2 separate regions of the Mus musculus genome follow, and region 1 is reported to be linked to region 2. The links are microRNA targets in miRTarBase. Many come from high-throughput screens and were not tested one by one. Region 2 holds a microRNA gene; the other region holds the end of a gene's coding sequence.
The links. Region 2 holds the annotated microRNA mmu-miR-140-5p (CAGUGGUUUUACCCUAUGGUAG, at 2,100-2,121, shown strand). A microRNA usually pairs through its seed, bases 2 to 8, with sites in the 3' UTR of a target mRNA and lowers its output. Matches are read on the target gene's strand: a 7mer-m8 pairs with bases 2 to 8, a 7mer-A1 pairs with bases 2 to 7 and ends in A, and an 8mer does both.

Region 1 (3,403 bases), not on the chromosome of region 2:
AAAGAGTTCCTCTGCACCCAGTCCCTGGACATAAAAAGGCCGTACAACTTGGTTATGCAGATAACCTGGCTAGGGTTTTGAGTCTTTGGGACGTGCAGTTAGGTAGGTAGGCTACATGATGGGTTCTTCTGACCAGAACTGACGTCATAGGCTATTCTGTGTTGACAAAAGAAGAGTTAAGGAACCGCTAGCTGAATAAGGAATGCCTCCTCTCGCGTGTGTCTGATCTGTATGGTAACTTTTAATTACACAGACAGAAAGAACATACTTCCAGGTCTACTTGCCAAAGGGGAGCAAGGAAAAAAGCAAAGCCATGTTCTTTTGCCTGCGGTGGAGCATCGGGAAGGTTGTGGACTTTGCAGCTTCTCTCGCTAATCTCAGGAATGAAAACAACAAGCTGACAGCGAAGGTAATGTCCGGTGACCCCTTTTCCTTCAAGTGTTGGGATATGTCTGCAAGTGGGCCTCACCCTGTGCGCCTTCTCTCTCTCTCACCAGAAGCTGAGGCTGTGTCATGTCCCTTCAGGAGAAGCCCTGCCATTGGATCACACATTGGAAAGGTGGATCACGAAGGAGGAGTGCCCTTTATATAATGGAGGAAATGTTATCTTGGAATATCTTAACGATGAAGAACAGTTTTTAAAAAATGTTGACTCTTACTTGGAATAGTCATTCAAGGATTCAAGCCAGCAGAATCCTTATAAGCAGAAACCACTATCAGTAGACAGTCAGCTTTGTTGTGTTTGTTTTGTTTGTTTTACTACAGATACTTTTTTAAAACTCTCAAAGTTGCTGTCTTAGAATTTATTTCCATTAGGTCCTAATTTACACCAGTAGTTTTCTACTAGGTTCCATGTTGGTGTTTAATTATGTGTTGACAATTACTGGCGAAGTATTTTATTAGCTGTTTCTGGGTTAGGCTGTAGAAATATCAGCAAAAGTGTCTTTCCTGGTAGACTAATGGCAGCCATTGACTGGCTGCTGTGTCACAGCCTGTACTGCCTTCCCTCCGAGATCCCGCTCACACAACACCCACCTTTTTGTGATTTTGCCATTCTACGGCAGAGGAAGCTGCAGATGGCAGACTCTTTGGAGGGGTCGTACAAGTGGTACTTACCAATATTATTTAAAGGAAGTCCTATGATTAAACCTCATATTATGTCCAGAATACATAGCCTTACTGGATACCTAAATCATGACGCATGAATTGCAGACTCTTGCAGATCCTCTCATTCAGTCTTCCAGGATAAGGTGTGTGATAAGACACCACATACCTAAGAAGGGAACGTAATTTTTTTGGTATCATGTAATTGCACTGGATATGTTTCTGGTAAGGAGTTTTCTCTAGTAGGATTCAACTTTTTGTGTGTGTGAATGTATTACAAATGAGAACTTCACTCGAATAAACTGATTTTGTTACAGTCTATGCTTCCTGTAACAAAGCGAGACAATTATTGCATTTGATCTATAAGTTGAAATAAGTCCTCTTGGGGAATGCCTTCTGTCTACACCTGAGGAGAATGAGTGTCTTCTGTCCACACTAGATGAAGGCCTACATACACTGTGGGAGGGAGCAGTAGGTTAATTAAAGAGTAAGCTGAGCATGCTCATTTGGTCTTTGTCAGCTCCATCTTTTCATGTTCAGACCATAAACAGTGATAATTTCTTGCTTTTATCAGACTCTAAATTCATTCCTTTATAGTTACCTGTGTGCCTACTTAAAACAAAAGTGTCTGATTGCCAATGTGGGCACAAGAAGCCACACTTAGGCAGAAGATAAACTTGGAACTAGCAGACAGAGTTGTAAGGCAAGTTGCAGATAAGTGAATAGGCAGTATAGCCATGTTACAAGAGCTGTTTTATTGGAAACTATCAAACTAGAGTTAGAAATCACCTTTTTTTTTTTTTTTTTTTTTTAATTTTTCGAGACACAATTTCTCTGTAAAGCCCTGGCTGTCCTGGAACTTACTTTCTTTCTTTCTTTTTTTCTTTTTTTTTTTTTTTGAGATACCAGAAGTTTTAATACCAAGCAGTACTTTAATCTCCATTTTGGACCTAGTAGGTGGCCAGCACCTCTAATTGAATGAAAATTGAATATGCCAGAAAAATAATACCTACTGAGAAGATGGCAGGCGAGGCTTGTTTCAGGAAGTATTAAAAAATTCAATTCACACTACACCAGCAGGCCCTGGAGGGCTGGCAGGCCTGGCACAGGCAGGCATGGCTGGCCTGTTCTCATCTCGTGGAGACTCTGCCTCAGAGCTCCGAAATCTCTCCATCCAGCTTGCTAAGTTCCCACTGGTGGGTTAATACCACGCCAGCCCCACACTTGAAAATTCCCATAGCCTTTTTGGGGTGCACTTCTCGCAAAGCCACACTTTGCTGCCATATCTTTCTCTCTGGAACCCAGTTGAGCCACCTTGTGAAGGAAAACACCACACAAACTTAGTTCAGAATCAATGCTAACTCAATCACTGGGCGCAACAACTAGCATCCTAATCTTGTTAGCCGTATTAATTCTAAATCCTCCAGGGGTCACTTGTAGCTGCATCTTGCCTCCCACTCTCCCTGATCAAAAGCCCCTATCTCTCTTCTGCCTCTTACCCAGAAGTCCCGCCTACTCACCCAGTGATTAGAAAGGTCACATGAAGTCCTGGATACGTGATTCACTCCTCCAGACAGCCCCTCTTAGATTAGTTAAATTAACATCAGATTTCAAATAGCGCCAGGGCTACTCACAACCGAGGCTGACTGGAATTGACACCTAGAAAGGATGAAAAATGTCTTTTCCCAGTGAGCAGATGAGAGACAAGTCTATCCAGAGAGGAACCTACGACAGTGAGTACACAGTCCATAAGCTAGGCCCGTCCTAGGGATGGAGCCCACGGGGCTGGAGGACGTCAGGATGAGCGAGCATCCTTGGCACTAAGCATTGGCAGGTTAATAATCTAAAGAGAACAAGGTGTGGGTGGAATCTCAGTCCCCTACCTCCCTATGTCCAAATAAACACTCTGAAGGGCAGAAATCTCAGGTTCACATTAAGTTGCCTAATGAAATGGTAGGCTTACAGTGTCCCTATCTTACTTGGTGTTCACGTGCTGCAAGGGAAGCCATGCAGCATAGGAGAGGAGTGTGGGTGAACCGTTGAAACAATGCTTTGATACTAACGATCACCAGTCTAAAGAACAGAAAATGCATGAGAAAACTGGATAATAGGATTCGTCTTATCTACATTCATCAGGTTTTTTGTTCTGAAGTCTTCAGAAGATGGGTTAGGAAACAAAAACTGAAAGAAAAAACAAAAACACTAGATAAAGTGCTTGGGGGGAAAAGCATACACTTTATTTTTTAAGTTAGATTTAGTTTTGGTGTGTGGGGACACACACCACAACATGTGTGTGTAG
Region 2 (3,403 bases):
GAGTCAGGGTAAGGACCTTTACAACCACAGCCTTGTCCCCTAGTGCAGCCCCAGTCGTCCTGTTAGGCTACCCGGGGAAGAGGGATCTATATGTGTGTGTGTGTTCTAACCACTGCCCTCTAGTAACTGACTGTAGGGCACTGTTCCCACGTCTTTGAGTCTCAGTGTCAGTCCCTTCCTGTGTCTTGCTCTAATCTACTCCTCTTTAAATTCATGGAGCAGAGCATCCACTTTCCCTAGGGCTCTCAGAAATGGGCTGTTTATTTTCTAAGAAATCAATCGGTCCCTACATATCCTTTGCTCTCGCCAGGACAAAGCAAGGCTCACCTGGTGCCTATGACCGAAGTTTTCGGTGGAAGTATCACCAGTTCCGTTTCCTCTGCCACGTGAGTTCTGGTTTGGCGGCTTCTGTGGGAGTAGGGCTGGTAATTGCTGTCGGGTTGGTCTCCCGACCCACTGTTTTGGGGGGTGCCTTAGGTAGGAGCAAGATGCTTGCCCCACTCTGAGATGTTTGTCTTGAAGGAGTAGGCTTCTAACCCTGGGGGGTGGGGCTGTGTCATCGCAGATGGAAGAGCCCTTGGAGTGGGCACCCTTGGGAAGCCCCAGTTAAGAATTTTCCTTTTCTTTTCAGTCAAATGCTCTACCCAGCCATGTGAAGATCAGCGTTTCCAGGCAGACACTCTTTGAGGATTCTTTCCAACAGGTTAGAGAATATTCCTGATGCCAGGATCCTAGGCAAGCAGGCTTCCTCCCATCACCCAAAATCCTGTCTCATGGCATAAGCGTTGGTGACCATATCTGTTAGACAGTAAGCCTTAGATAGAGTCCCCTGCCCCCACATCCCTGCCTTCTGTGCTGGGGTCAGGGGCAGGATGGCCGGATGCCCTGTCTCCCCAGATTATGAACATGAAACCTTACGACCTGCGCCGCCGGCTCTACATCATCATGCGTGGTGAGGAGGGCCTGGACTACGGCGGCATCGCCAGGTGAGCCAGGGTGCCCAAAGCGCTGTACTCTAACCCATGTCCCCTGGCTTCAGGGCCCACGTTGAGAAAGCTCTCTCCTCGATGCTATTCTTTCCCTGAGTTCTCCTGTATCAACAGGAAGGGCACTGGCGTGGCACTCACAGGAATCTCTTGGGCTGTGGGTGTAGCTCAGTTAAGACAGGATGCTTTTTTACCCTGCAGGCCCTGGGTTTGTTCTCCAGCACCACATAAACCAGGCACAGGAGCTCACACCTGTAGCTGTAGCACTTGAGAAACAGAAGCAGAAGGATAGGAGTTCAGGGTTGTCCTTGGCTACGTGGTGAGTTTGATGCCATCACGAGTCTCAGGAGACCCTGTTCCCAAAACGAAGAAGAAAATCCCTTCATAAATTTCTCTGGCTAATATCAGTAAGCTACAAATCAGGTCCAGGCCTCAGCCCTTTCCATTATTAGATTATGGGGATGCAAGAGACTTCTTGGGGAGGGGGCATGGTGTGTGGTTCTATGCCAGCCTACATGCCATTTTTCTATAGTTAAAAACAACTTGGCGTTGTATCAATGGGCAGAGGCTAGCTTGTAAGGTCTGCAAGTGTCCCGTAAAATCAGCCCCTGGCTTTCCTTCTATGTGATGCAGCCAGAGCAGGTTAAGTCAGATTTCTCAGAGCACATCTGGTATGTCTAAGCATTGCCACTCCTGCTGCATGTCCTGTGTACCAGTCAATAACATTAAAACAGTTGGTATAAACCCTAAAAGAACCCAGAGCACTGTGTTACCTTCACCCTACAAAAGTTAACAGGCTCTTTGGAAAAGCATTGCCGTGGACAACAGGCAGAGAGTCCTAGCAGTGGGAAGGGGCTTCTTGGCTGTGGTGACCTCTCATCCTGCTGACCTTGTGGTGTGGGGCTGTCATCTGACTTAGTTGGGCTCCCCGCCTCTGACCCTGCTTGCTGGTGGTGTAGTCTTCTGTGTTGACCCTGCTTGCTGGTGGTGTAGTCTTCTGTGTTCATCCCATCCTGCAGATGAGTTGTTCTGTTTTCGGTGTGACCTCTCCAGGCTGTGCTTGGTGGGCATCTGGTGTGGCTCCCGCCCTGTGTGTCTCTCTCTGTGTCCTGCCAGTGGTTTTACCCTATGGTAGGTTACGTCATGCTGTTCTACCACAGGGTAGAACCACGGACAGGGTACTGGAGCACCCTCTGCATCGAAGGACTCCATCTACACAGCCACAAAGCCCAGCAGCCAGGGGCTGGCCCCCCTTGACTACGATTCCCCGATTGTTCCCCAATTGTTTAGCTCAAGCTCTGAAGGACCCTGAATTCTGGCTTGAGGCTTATATGTAGGGTGCAGATAGATGCTAAGGCGTCTATTGGGTGGGTGTTGGTTGAGATAAATGGATCCAAATCTGGGTTAGGGTATGCTAATGGGTTCTAGGGTGAAGGGAGGGAAACCTACAAGTGAGGTACCTATGGGGTACCCTGAAGGGATGAGGTGTCTAGAGGCCAAATGAGTCACAGAACTTTCAAGGTTCAGCTTTTGGGAAAATGCTACTGTGTATTCTTTACATTGCACTGCATACCAAATGGGGTGGAGCGGGGCGCTTACTGTCATAGAGCAGAAATGTTGTTGTAGTACATTTATTTATCTATTTATTTATTTATTTGGGGGCATAGGTGTTTAGGGGTTCTCATGGATCGTATACCATGTGTGGCGGTCAGAGGACAACTCCCAGGATTCAGTTCTCATCGTATGCCAAGTGGGTTCTAGGGATTACACTTGGTTGTCAGGCTTGGAAGCAAGAGCCTTTACCTGCCGAGCCTCCGTGCCAGCACAGCCCACAGTGCTTTAAAATGTTACCTTTGTATATGGTGCACAGCCCGCACAGTGAGGCATGGTGGCCCTGGGGGTGAGGAGCCGCTTTGCCATCCAGTGCTCTAGATATTGTAGCATAACTGTGCCCAGGGGGCTGAGAGGCACACACACGGGCTTTCCTGAGCACAAACTTCAGGTGCTGTCCTCTTCACCCAAGACCTGGGATGAGCTGGCTCACTGATCCCCCCAGGCACGTGCATTCAGGTGCTCTGACCCAGCAGAACCCCAGCTGCTGTGCAGAGGGTCCCATTGTCCTGTCCTCTCTTCCCTCACAGAGAGTGGTTTTTCCTCCTGTCCCATGAGGTGCTCAACCCTATGTACTGTTTGTTTGAATATGCTGGGAAGAACAATTACTGCCTGCAGATCAACCCGGCCTCTTCCATCAACCCTGACCACCTCACCTACTTCCGCTTTATCGGCAGATTCATCGCCATGGTAACCCCCAGGGATGCCTCCCTTCTTCTCTTCCTCTTTTGAGACCTTGGGAAGGGCAGCCCCAGAGGAGGCTGGCTCTAGTCACAGTCTAGTCGGCAGTGACATGAACAGCAGCC

Region 1: the mRNA of Zfand1 is a reported target of mmu-miR-140-5p. Seed matches in the 3' UTR shown: 8mer at 709-716.

What each region holds. Positions count from the first base shown.
Region 1 is chr3:10,338,000-10,341,402 of GRCm38, reverse strand. Zfand1 (zinc finger, AN1-type domain 1) reads left to right here. Exons shown (of 8, transcript NM_025512.3): 7 at 254-409; 8 at 498-1,447. The coding sequence ends at 668. Among named protein-coding and RNA genes, the nearest start is that of Slc10a5, 4.0 kb to the right of the region's middle.
Region 2 is chr8:107,549,150-107,552,552 of GRCm38, forward strand. Mir140 (microRNA 140) reads left to right here and starts at 2,095; the gene lies at 2,095-2,164. Wwp2 (WW domain containing E3 ubiquitin protein ligase 2) reads left to right here. Exons shown (of 24, transcript NM_025830.4): 13 at 1-8; 14 at 311-386; 15 at 632-703; 16 at 898-986; 17 at 3,128-3,287.